Linked DNA regions of Saccharomyces cerevisiae S288C. Each later gene encodes a partner of the first gene's protein in a complex. Each region holds a gene or a part of one and is shown in the gene's direction. Other genes may lie near its edges.

Evidence for each region.
Region 2: VAR1 (region 1) and MRP21 share a complex: the UniProt entries of both Saccharomyces cerevisiae proteins name them as parts of the mitochondrial small ribosomal subunit.
Region 3: VAR1 (region 1) and MRPS12 share a complex: the UniProt entries of both Saccharomyces cerevisiae proteins name them as parts of the mitochondrial small ribosomal subunit.
Region 4: VAR1 (region 1) and QRI5 share a complex: the UniProt entries of both Saccharomyces cerevisiae proteins name them as parts of the mitochondrial small ribosomal subunit.

The regions. Positions count from the first base shown.
Region 1 is NC_001224.1:47,046-51,262, forward strand, and holds VAR1 (mitochondrial 37S ribosomal protein VAR1), read left to right. Parts: upstream 1-1,855; coding exon 1,856-3,052; downstream 3,053-4,217. UniProt on the Saccharomyces cerevisiae protein: Component of the mitochondrial ribosome (mitoribosome), a dedicated translation machinery responsible for the synthesis of mitochondrial genome-encoded proteins, including at least some of the essential transmembrane subunits of the mitochondrial respiratory chain.
Region 2 is NC_001134.8:46,661-50,349, forward strand, and holds MRP21 (mitochondrial 37S ribosomal protein bS21m MRP21), read left to right. Parts: upstream 1-2,164; coding exon 2,165-2,698; downstream 2,699-3,689. Other genes in the region: phospholipid metabolism-regulating protein SCS22, read right to left, coding at 1-398, 487-520; MAP2 (methionine aminopeptidase), read right to left, coding at 703-1,968; AVT5 (amino acid transporter), read left to right, coding at 2,914-3,689. UniProt on the Saccharomyces cerevisiae protein: Component of the mitochondrial ribosome (mitoribosome), a dedicated translation machinery responsible for the synthesis of mitochondrial genome-encoded proteins, including at least some of the essential transmembrane subunits of the mitochondrial respiratory chain.
Region 3 is NC_001146.8:693,861-696,518, reverse strand, and holds MRPS12 (mitochondrial 37S ribosomal protein uS12m MRPS12), read left to right. Parts: upstream 1-1,696; coding exon 1,697-2,158; downstream 2,159-2,658. Other genes in the region: putative ATP-dependent RNA helicase DBP6, read right to left, coding at 1-924; mitochondrial 37S ribosomal protein uS19m RSM19, read left to right, coding at 1,192-1,467; ARC35 (Arc35p), read left to right, coding at 2,472-2,658. UniProt on the Saccharomyces cerevisiae protein: Component of the mitochondrial ribosome (mitoribosome), a dedicated translation machinery responsible for the synthesis of mitochondrial genome-encoded proteins, including at least some of the essential transmembrane subunits of the mitochondrial respiratory chain.
Region 4 is NC_001144.5:550,492-553,105, forward strand, and holds QRI5 (mitochondrial 37S ribosomal protein mS38 QRI5), read left to right. Parts: upstream 1-1,778; coding exon 1,779-2,114; downstream 2,115-2,614. Other genes in the region: MSS51 (Mss51p), read right to left, coding at 159-1,469; HMX1 (Hmx1p), read right to left, coding at 2,233-2,614. UniProt on the Saccharomyces cerevisiae protein: Component of the mitochondrial ribosome (mitoribosome), a dedicated translation machinery responsible for the synthesis of mitochondrial genome-encoded proteins, including at least some of the essential transmembrane subunits of the mitochondrial respiratory chain.

The DNA.
Region 1 (4,217 bases):
CTTATAATTATATAATTATTATAAAATATATAAATATTATAATAATAATAATATATATAAATTATAATAAAAAATAATAATAATATATAATATACCTTTTTTTTAATATATTAATATATAAATAAATAAATAATGGATAATATATAATTACTTTTTTTATATTATTAATAATAATAATTTATAAATATTGTTATAATAAACATTTATATAAATAAATATAAATTACCATAATAAGATATATTATTTATTAATAATAAAAATATTTATTAATAAATAAGAAATATATATATTATGATAATATTTATTAATAAATAATAAATTCTTTATATATAAATATATTAAATATATTTAATTGAACACAATATAATTTTTATTGTATTATTCATTTAATAATATTAATATTAATATTAATATAATATTAGTGAACATCTCCTTTCGGGGTTCCGGCTCCCGTGGCCGGGCCCCGGAACTATTAATATTTAATAAAATATATATAATTTATAATTTTCATATAATTAATATAATAATTAGGTTTATAAATAAATTATAATATATTATAACAATATAATAAAATATATTATAAATCTATCTATCTATCTATATAATATATAAATTTATATATACATTAATAATATTTAATTATAATTATTTAAATATTTAATTTATTAATATTCCCCGCGGGCGCCAATCCGGTTGTTCACCGGATTGGTCCCGCGGGGTTTATATTATTTAAATATTAAATATTAAATAATAATTTATATTATATTAATAAATATAATAAATTAAAAATATATGATTAATTATATAATAATAATAATAATTATTTTAATATTATAATTTATAAAATTAATTATATTAATTATATTAATTCTTATTATATAATAATTATTAATAATAATTTATTTTAAGAAAGGAGTGAGGGACCCCCTCCCGTTAGGGAGGGGGACCGAACCCCGAAGGAGAAAATAAATTAATAAAAGTTTAAAAGTTCTTATATTAATAATTATATAATATTATATTAAAGATTTTTATAATATATATATATAATATATTTATAGTTCCGGGGCCCGGCCACGGGAGCCGGAACCCCGAAAGGAGTTTATTTAATATTTATATTTATATTAATATTTATATTTATATTTATATTCCTCTTAAGGATGGTTGACTGAGTGGTTTAAAGTGTGATATTTGAGCTATCATTAGTCTTTATTGGCTACGTAGGTTCAAATCCTACATCATCCGTAATAATACATATATATAATAATAATTTTAATATTATTCCTATAAAAATAAAATAAATAAATAAATAATAATAATTAATTAATTAATTAATTTTAATAAATATAAAATATATAAAAATAATAATAATAATAATTATTATTTTAATAATATTATTTATATAATAGTCCGGTCCGACCCTTTTTATTCTTAAGAAGGGATTTTATTTTATTAATTAATAATAATATATTAAAAATTATAAATAATTAATAATTCTTTATATTTATATATATATATATATATTTATATATTTATATATATATTTTAATAATATTATGATATATTTTATTTTAATAATATTTTTATTTTTATATATAAAATTATAATATTTTATTTTATAAATTATTTATATATAAATTATTAATAATAATTATTTTTTTTTATTTGGGATTTATATTATTATTATAAAGAATATAATGTTATTAATAACTGCAAAAAATATCTAATATATTATTATTTATAATAATAAATAATATTATAATAAGGATGCATATTATATATATATATATATTTCTATTTATATTAATATTAATATTAATATGTATATATAATAGATAAAAAGTAAAAATAAAAAATAATGAAATTAAAATTATTAAATATAATTTTATCAATAATAAATAAACTTAATAATAATAATAATATTATTATTAATAATCTATTAGATTCATTAATAAATAAGAAATTATTATTAAAGAATATATTATTAGATATAAATAATAAAAAAATAAATAATATAAAAAGAATATTAAATAATAATAATATAAACCCCGCGGGCGCCAATCCGGTTGTTCACCGGATTGGTCCCGCGGGGAATATTAATAATAAATTACAACATTTAAATAATATAAATAATTGAAATCTACAAATTTATAATTATAATAAAAATATAGAAATTATAAATACTATAAATGATAAATTAATTAATAAATTATTATATAAAATAATAACTTTAAAATTAAATAATATAAATATTAATAAAATTATTATAAGTAAACTTATTAATCAACATAGTTTAAATAAATTAAATATTAAATTTTATTATTATAATAATGATATTAATAATAATAATAATAATAATAATAATAATTATTATATAAATATAATAAATAAATTAATAAATATTATAAATAATAATATAAATAATAATTTATGTAATATTTTAAGTTATTATTATAAAAAAAAAGTAACTATTGAACCTATTAAATTATCATATATTTATTTAAATAGTGATATTTTTAGTAAATATATTAGTTTAAATGATATAGATAAATATAATAATGGTATCTTAACTAATTATCAACGTATATTAAATAATATTATGCCTAAATTAAATGATCATAATATTTCTATAAATTATATTAATAATATTAATAATATTAATAATAATAAATATAATAATATAATTAATTTATTAAATAATAATAATAATATTAATAATAATAATAATTATAATAATAATAATAATAATTATATTGGTAATATTAATAATATTTATAATAATATAACTATTGATAATATTCCTATAGATATTTTAATATATAAATATTTAGTTGGTTGATCTATTAAATTTAAAGGTAGATTAAGTAATAATAATGGTAGAACTAGTACACTTAATTTATTAAATGGTACTTTTAATAATAAAAAATATTTATGAAGTAATATTAATAATAATTATAAATTAAATTATATCCCTTCTAATCATAATTTATATAATAATTCTAATATTAATAAAAATGGTAAATATAATATTAAAGTTAAATTAAACTTTATTTAATATATATATTAATAGTTCCGGGGCCCGGCCACGGGAGCCGGAACCCCGAAAGGAGAAATAAAATAAATATAATAAATAAAATAAATAAATAAATAATATATATATATATATAAATATATAAAATAATATTTACTTTTTATATATATATAATTATATATAAATAAAATATAATATAATATCATATAATTATATAAAAATAAAATTATAATTTATTTATATTAAAAATATTAATTAATTAATTTTTTTATATAATTATTATAATAATAATTTAATTAAAAATAAATATCAAATAAAATTATAAATTAATCCTACTTTTGGATCCTATTTATATTTTATTATTATAAATAATTATTATTGATAGTTAATTAAATAAAAATATATATATATATTACTCCTTCGGGGTCCGCCCCGCAGGGGGCGGGCCGGACTATTATAATTATTATTAATATATTAATTATTAAATTATATAAACCGCCCCCGCGGGGGCGGTTAGTTATTTATATTAATATATTTTATATTAATATATAATACTCTTTTTTCTATTATATTTTAATATATAATATTAAAAAAAATAAATAAAATAATATTCTTAATTTTTATTCTTTATCTTCTTTAACCAAACTCCTTCGGGGTTCGGTCCCCCTCCCATTAGGTTAGGGAGGGGGTCCCTCACTCCTTCGGGGTCCGCCCCCCCCCGCGGGGGCGGGCCGGACTATTTTAAATTTTAATTTAAATTTTATAAATATAATATTTAATTATAAATTTAATAATAATATATAAAAAATATATATATGGTTAATATATATAAAGATTATAATCTTTTTATTAAATAAAGGAAAATTTATTATATAATTTTTCTCTATAGTTATATATTTAAAACTTATTTTTTTTTTTTTATAAATAATAATTATAATAAATAATATTAATTATTTATTATATAATTAATTGGCCCCCATGCTGGGTTCCGGAACTCCTCCTTCTCGCGAGGTTAACACCTATTATATAACTATAACTATAACTATAACTATAATTATAATTATAACTATAACTATAAATATTCATTTTAATAATAATAATAATAATAATATTAATATAAATAGTCGAAGAATATATTTATTTATTTTAATATAAATAAAAAGTTTCAATTAATTTGAATTTGGAATTA
Region 2 (3,689 bases), on another chromosome or scaffold:
TGCTGATTCTGCATCGTGGTTTCCAGACGGTTTTCTTTTCGGTAACACGGAGTGAAATATTTTGATCTTCTTGAAGACTATGTCATCTTTGTACTGCTCTTCCAGATTAGGCCAATCGGACAACAGCTCGCCATCCTCCACGTTTTGGTAAGCTGCCGGGATAGGAAGTGTAACGATCAAGAATTTGTCTCGTTTTTGGTCCATTTCATCGTCAGCGGTTGACTTGGGTAATCCAAGGAAAACAATTTGGACATTTACACTTTCATGAGCACCTATGATGGCCACATTGGGCCTCACACAATACTTTGTGGGAGCACTAGTCCTCACTTTAAATATAACTCTCTTTTCACCATCGTTCTCGAGCTTTATATACTCTGTTGATTGTTTATTAAGGGGAGCTGAAGTATTACATATTAGTAACCTGTTGCATCGCACCAAAAAAGGTAGCAAAGTTTCCCGCACACTAGCAATTCTCGTCAAACATACCCTTGAACACCAGCTTTTCTGGCACTATTCTCATTGTTTACTCGTCTGAACTAGTGCTTATATTATCTGTCGTCATACCACTGTTTGAGACCCCCATAGGTCTTATATAAGGTAATGCATCATTCTAAACGGGCGGCAAGCCATATTAAACTATCTATATAACTACAACAGTATTCATATACCTAGTGAGGAGGCCATTTGAAAGCGCATTTTACCTCAGTAGTCATCACCTTTCGAAACGACTTCCTTTTTGTGAGCATGCAACAAGATGGTGTGTTCGAATTGTGCAGTGTAGGATCCGGGGATATCGTTCAATGGTGGATAATCCTGTACTAAACCGTGTCTAACCAAGTTATTCAACGCAAATAAGTATTTCTCTTGGCCAAGTCTGTCTAGGTATCGGCGACAGAACGGTAAAGTCCCAAAGTTGCGGTCTATCGTTTTTAACAAGTTCTTGGCGCTGTCTAACGTGGGCATTACCTGATGGTCTTCAGCAGATCTGGCATAATGAGAAACTTCCCCACCGGCAGTAACATAACCTCTACCAGTAGAACCAAAAGTTTCAATGGCAAAGTGCTCACCTTCCTCCATTTTTGTAGTGTCCCCATTTTTGACGATGGGAACGGATTTACCGCCGTGGATACGATATGGTGCGATACTGTGGCCACATAGATTACGACAAGGTTTAACCTGGTAAGTCTCACCATTGATTTCCACTTCGTAGGATTCCATAACTTCTTGGATGGCTTCACCGATGTCGGTTAATCTCACATCGATACCCGCTTCTTTAATACCCGTGTAAGTAGCGTCCTTTACAGCGGCTAGCAGGTTATCGTATTGTGGATCAAAGGAAACAGTAAAGGCAGAATCAATGATGTTACCGTTTACCTGCACACCATAATCTACCTTCATCACGTCTTCGTATTTCAGAACGGTTTTGTCGCCTGCATTGGGTGTGAAATGTGCAGCACAATGGTTGAGAGAGAGACCCGTTGGAAACCCAATACCTTGAGATTTGGGATCCTCCATCGCTAATAAATTTTCGGCACCTGTATACTTTCTTGTAGTATTTTCGATCATGTCAGCGATATCCATTAACTTCATCCCAGGAACGATTCTGTCCTTGATGGCCCTTCTCACACGACGATGTATCTCAGCACCCTTTCTGACATCATTCCAATGTTCGGCCCTTTCCAGATCCCTTTTCAAATAACGTGATTCTTCATCCGTGGTTCTTTGCAGATTGAAATCTTGATGATAGTCCATCCACGCACCTTCTGGGTACTTTCCATCTGGAAACAGTAATTCAATCTTCTTCACATTGCTTTTCTTCTTCTTCTTTTTCTTGTTCTTCTTCTTTTTGCTTTCTACTGGGTCTGACTCGTCAGCTTTTGCCTGGTCTTGCTGTTCAACGCCTTCATTCTCCAAATTCAATTCTTTTAAATCAGAAGCAGGGGAATTTTCTATTTCAGCGTCTGTCATTTTTCAATACGGTAGAGCTTCTACAGTACTTGTTGATGTAAAAGCCCACTTATTAGCTTCTTGCTATGGCTTCCTTTCTTTTTTAAGTTCGCTTCTTTCCCAAGATTGAAAATAAAAAATAAGTGAGACCAGGTCATTAAAGGTCCCTTGAAGAGTAAAAAATCTGTCAAATATCACCCATAAGAGCATAACCATAATGTTGAAGAGCACGCTGAGGCTTTCAAGAATCTCTCTCAGAAGAGGTTTCACAACGATCGACTGTTTACGCCAACAAAATTCGGATATCGATAAAATCATACTAAATCCAATCAAATTAGCTCAGGGAAGCAACAGCGATCGTGGCCAAACCTCTAAAAGCAAAACTGATAATGCAGATATTTTATCAATGGAAATTCCAGTAGATATGATGCAATCTGCTGGGAGAATAAACAAGAGGGAGCTTCTATCCGAGGCGGAAATTGCTAGAAGTAGCGTGGAGAATGCACAAATGAGATTCAATTCTGGAAAATCTATAATCGTGAATAAGAACAACCCTGCAGAATCATTTAAGAGATTAAACAGGATCATGTTTGAGAACAATATTCCCGGAGATAAAAGAAGTCAACGGTTTTACATGAAGCCGGGGAAAGTGGCTGAATTGAAGAGATCTCAAAGGCATAGGAAGGAATTCATGATGGGCTTCAAGAGGTTGATTGAAATTGTTAAAGATGCCAAGAGGAAAGGATACTAATCGTACCATCAACTCTTGAATATTGTGAAATTTTCGCCATTGATTTCCGTCTTTGTAAATAGGTAATGCGTAACTATTTAGTTAAATTTTTGTATATTTTTTATTCTATGACTTCACTTATCCATTATTTCCATCGTCAAAAAAAGGAAATAAATACTGTTGCTCGAACGAACAGCAAGATAAAGTGGAAACGAAAAGTAAGCAGCTTCCTCAATATGCCGTCAAACGTACGTTCGGGAGTCTTAACTTTGCTCCATACAGCATGTGGAGCAGGCGTACTTGCAATGCCGTTTGCATTCAAGCCATTTGGGTTAATGCCTGGTCTGATAACGCTAACATTTTGCGGAATATGTTCCTTATGTGGGCTGCTATTACAGACTCGAATAGCGAAGTACGTACCTAAATCTGAGAACGCCTCGTTTGCTAAACTCACCCAACTAATCAATCCGTCAATAAGTGTAGTGTTCGATTTTGCCATTGCTGTTAAATGTTTTGGCGTTGGTGTATCTTACTTAATTATTGTTGGTGACTTAGTGCCACAGATAGTGCAGTCAATTTTTTATCGTAACGATGATAACATGAGTGGTTCGCAAGAGCATCACATGTTCTTAGACAGGCGTTTGTATATAACTCTGATCATAGTGTTTGTTATCTCCCCTTTATGCTTTAAAAGAAGTTTGAATTCTCTACGATATGCTTCTATGATTGCCATTGTTAGTGTCGCATATTTATCTGGTTTGATTATTTACCATTTTGTAAATCGGCATCAGCTAGAGAGAGGGCAAGTATATTTTATGGTACCTCACGGAGATTCTCAGTCTCATTCTCCCCTGACTACATTGCCAATTTTTGTGTTTGCTTACACTTGTCACCACAATATGTTCAGTGTAATTAATGAGCAAGTGGATAAGAGCTTCAAGGTAATCAGGAGGATTCCGATTTTTGCCATCGTGTTGGCCTATTTTTTATACATCATAATTGGTGGTACAGG
Region 3 (2,658 bases), on another chromosome or scaffold:
ATTTGATAATTTTTTGTGTTCGTCCTTCAAAGAATTTTCTAATTTGGCAATGCTCACAATAAGCGACGTCCCTTGAGTTAGCTTTGTCAACGTAGTATAAACTTGGTTTATCAATAGTTTTGTGGGGACGATGATTATACAACGCAGTCTGTTAATTTGTCTCTTGAAGAGGGTTTGAACAATAGGAATGGAGTAAGCCAAAGTTTTACCTGAACCGGTAGCAGCATTTACAAGAATATCACCGATTCTTCTGGTGAAGTTTCTCTTAGATACGTTCAACGTGAAGTTCAATACCGGTAATATGGAGTCTAGGATGATCGATTGGATGGGAAAAGTGTTTGTAGAGAAATTCTTGCAAATATTCTGCAGTAGTTTTGCTTCTAATTCATTTGCGTAATCCGAGAACGGTTTGATCAAGGAATTATCATAATATATCTTCTCAGTATTTAACCAACCCGTAGATTTGAACTGTAATGAATTTGTATTCAAATTCATTGGGTTTTTGACGAATTCAGGTTGAGGAATCTGTTTTAGTTGGTGAGTTGAGGCCGCCTCGTCTTCAATACCTTCGTCTTCCTTACTCTCAGCAATATCAGATGCACCTAGCCTTTCTTGCAATGATACTGTTTGCTTGAATCTCGATAGCACTGTGCTGTGAGTACTTGGCTTACTCTCTTCCTCTTCCACTTCACTCGAATCCTCTTCACTAGCCCCATAATCTACTTGCATACGGTCTTCGTCTTCCTCTGAACTAGAGTTGGAACTCTCATCAGAATCTTGGTGAGAGCCATATTCTTCATTATCAGATTCAGTAGCCTGCCTCTTTAAAGGCACAATGGCCGGGGGAGTAGTTCCGACGATTCCTTCTGGTGCGCTAGCTGCAGGAGCAGTCAATTGGCTAGGGTCAAATCTCGATGCAAACATTGTCACTACCGGTCACCAATGGTAAAGGTGTCCAGTTTCGAGCACATCTCATCGCCAGTTATGCTTTCTATATAATACAAATCTGCAATAATTTTTCAAATTTTAAGCATCACCCGGCATTAGCGTTTGGATCACTATTCACGGTTATGGCTGAGCAAGAAATGGCAATTGGAAGCGCCTAGTAAGAATCTAACCATGACTTAAAACGGTGAGGTTCATTGCAAGAGCAGTACAGCATCGGCAGAAGTAGTGTCCACCAAAAATAAAATGCAACCGGCAGCTAGACTTTTATCGCGGTCCGTATGGAAGGGCCCCAACATCGTGCCATTACCCATAAGGGAGGCCATGACTAAGGGCACTCCAATAAGAACAAACGCAAGGGCCGCCACCATCCTTCCTCAGTTCGTGGGACTGAAATTTCAAATACACAATGGTAAGGAGTACGTACCTATTGAAATATCAGAAGATATGGTGGGCCACAAACTGGGCGAGTTCGCACCTACCAGGAAGCGTTTCAGCTATACTCAAACCAAGAACAAATGAGGGATCTAGTGTATATAGATTTCTAGATGATATATCATGTAAATAAGATCAAGCCAGACTCGGGCTGTATATATATATATATATAGCATAATAAACAGTAATAGTGCTTTTAAAAGCATTTCAGTCTTACCCGAGCGACAAAACGATTTGGGGAGAAAAAACGCATATAACCAGGGAAAAGACGGAGAACTTACAGGTACACCAGAATTGAAGCAGGCCAACAAGAGCCATGTTGTCGAGGTTTATGTCCAACACATGGTGTACGCCCTTGAGACAGGCGCAGAGATTGTTTTCCTCCACTACGACAATGCAAGCGACATTGAATCAGATTAAAAGAGGCTCCGGGCCTCCAAGACGCAAGAAGATAAGTACAGCTCCACAACTGGATCAGTGTCCCCAGCGGAAGGGTGTCGTATTACGTGTAATGGTTTTAAAGCCCAAGAAGCCGAATTCTGCGCAGAGAAAGGCGTGCAGGGTCCGTTTGACTAACGGGAACGTGGTATCTGCATATATACCGGGTGAGGGCCACGATGCTCAAGAGCATTCGATTGTATATGTCAGAGGTGGGCGTTGTCAGGACTTGCCTGGTGTGAAGTACCATGTTATCAGAGGTGCTGGTGACCTGAGTGGTGTGGTAAACAGGATTTCTTCGAGGTCGAAATATGGAGCCAAGAAGCCAAGTAAATCGTGATGCGCAGTACGCTCTAAGTTTTCTTTGGCCTCTCGACTACTTTTCTCTAATATTCCCACTCCATACAACCTTTTGTAAATAGCAATGACCATACATATATATATATATATATATATATATGTATTCTCAGTATACGCAATCAATGCTTTGGTATATTTGGTGTATTTGGCATACTTACTCGTATAAAGCGATCTGAATTTTCAGACGCTTGTATTGACAAGAAATACTATAAGCATAGGGGCTAACTAGCGTTCAAAGGAACTAGTGTAGATACAAGACTAGCAATCTTCTTGCCTCAAAACGGTAATCCGCAATGCTACACTTACAACCACAAAACCTTCTCATCCAAAAGACACTGAATGAAGCGATAGAGGCACTTCGCAAGGGTTCGCCGTTGACCATGGACAGAATTGTTTCCGATTTCGACTATACCACCTACCACATTTCAAACACAGCAGAAGATAAGTCCATTCTGTTGTTGAGTGTTAAGACCAAAGCTT
Region 4 (2,614 bases), on another chromosome or scaffold:
ATTAGTTAATGGACTATTAGGTCAACCATTACGAAGGGGGTGGGGTTAGTATTTTTGTATTTACAGATATTGAGATATCATACATAAGAAAAAAATTATAATAACGGTAGAAAACGCATATATTTATAAGATGAAAGTTGGGCATGGCCTCCCGATAATCATTGTCTCTTGATTGTATGGTACCTTTTACCTCTGAACCCGGCAATATACATGTTAAATTGATAAACTTCTTGAGGATTCATGTCATTTAATTCCCACTTCGTACTTCCAAATACGTTTCTGACGGGCTCCATTAAGACATCCATTTCCTTACCGTATTTGGATTTGACAAGATTTATGTCGTCCGTTAGGTCTTTCTTATTGAAACCCGTTGTGAAGATAGCACATTTTGTTTCCAGTAATGCCTTCATAGTTTCACCCATCCATGAACCGTGAGATTCTGGAGATGCGTAGCCTGGATGGAAAGTAAAAAAGACATCCATGTATGGATCGTATGGGAAAAAATCTTGAGCCTCATGGAATACTTCGAAAAAGTTTGTACGATAAATGAATTTCAGAGTCTCGTCTACTCTTTGTACTACCGGCGTAGTAGACTTGACGTACTCCTGTTTATCCCTTTTATACAGGCATTCGGGTCCAATGAAATGTATTTCGAAACTCTGCTCTGGGAAAAGAAACTGGAGCTGTTTCCAAACGTGGCCCGGCAATTGAGCTTCAGCACGTGCACCTAGGATGAAAATTCTCATAGCACGGTTCTTAGTTGTGGTTGGTAAAGATCTATTCTCCAACGGATATAAAGTATACCTGAGAGCAGCCAGAGATTTTAGACCTTCTAAGGTGATAGGCCCCTTTGGGTTCAATGAATACGGGGAAAATTTGTGCAGCAAAGACCCAATCGTAATTGGATAGCTTAGCATCTTTGTGACTGCGGCTAATTGGAACTCTGTATCCATGGAATAGAATGATCTTGTGTAGAAAAACAAATCCCAGTTTGTTAGGTTAACGGCCTTGTCGTAGCCTTGCTGTTGGGGAAAATCAAACTCCGGGAAGGGTCTACCGCTTCTTAAGTCATGCTCATAAATATTAACTTTTTTCAGGATTTCATATTTTTTAGAATCGTGATATGCTTTATCCATCTCCCAAGCCTCTCGTGAGTGATGAGTCGGAATTCCTGACAGAGGACAAGTGTAGTTAATATCTTTGCCGGTAACAGGGCAGTGTGCTAGCGTTCTAATCTTGGCGGCCCTTTCACGCAAGTCCACTGAGGGAGACTGATCCCATGGATGGAATCTGTTCTCCGGAGTAGGATCTTCTGGAGAGGGAGGAGGATCCAATCCAAGGGCGTTCCTAACGAACCCCATGAGGTGACGACGTGTTTGGTGAGAGACAACTAGCCTGTTGTGTGGCGACTTCCTTAGCAGATGGAAATATAGCTGAGTAGCACCCGAAGGAGCATATAGCACGGTCATAGTTCTGGAAGTACAAGTTTGCCAAACTACTTTAAGTCCACCTTCGCAATATCTACAGTGTTCTGCGCTTATAAAGTGTAAAAAAACTACAACCAAAGGCCCGCCCTTAGTAGTTGACCAAATATCTACTATTGTCTCTTGTCAGACTCCTTTGGATTATTTTCTTCGAGCCGCTTTTTCGTAGCGCATGATAAAAAGAGCCCTTTCCCCATACTGCACACTTAAGTGAATGCCAAATATAATATCAAGAGCGAAAGGCGGTTGAGTTCCAGCCAAGACGAGCACACACGACACCAGAACGAGATAAACATGCTAGGAAGGGCATTGCGACCTGGGTGGCTGGGCATTACTAGGACGGTGGTTAAGAAACCAAGTTGCGGGTCCTACTTTAACAGAACCTTTCAAACAGCAATTAACACTACAATGCCTCCCATGCAAGAGGGCATGCTGAGTACAATGATGATGATGACGGCTACGGCAACAAGGATCACTGGCACAGTCAGTGAGCCATTAAACGGTTCAAATATAGTGATGCAACTCGATTCAGTGATGAGAAAGAGGAAAAAAAAGATGAAGAAACACAAACTGCGGAAAAGAAGAAAGAGGGAGAAGGCAGAAAGAAGAAAGCTATCTCAGGGTAGATAATAGGGCTGTAAAAACCTCTCACATGTTTTTCTCTGCTGTTTTTCCTTCCCTATTCTTCATATTTTGATATTATTTCATGTATATATTATGTTTGTATTTAGACTTTTTTTTTTATACGTTATACTATGCTAAGAAAACTCTTTACCAAGAAGTAAAGAACCCAGATCGCGATAATAGAAAGCACCAGCAGCATGACCGTGTGGAGTGCTCTTCTAGTAGCAGAATCCTTGTTGAACATCCATTCTTCGTACAAGTACGTAATACACTTGAAGCTGAACTTGCCCATTAACTCGCGACGATTCAACTCTCCAATTTCTGCAACGATGTTGAAGTTCCAATCAAAAATGCCTTCTGCGACGCTAATGATCTGCAACTTTTGTGCTTCGGTCAATTCCGTCCTGGTGGCCAGCTCATAGTTCTTCTTGTATTCCCATTTCAAGCGTGTTTCTTCAGTGGGACCCAGATCGCTGAAGGTGAAGAAGTTTGTGCCCTTTTTGACC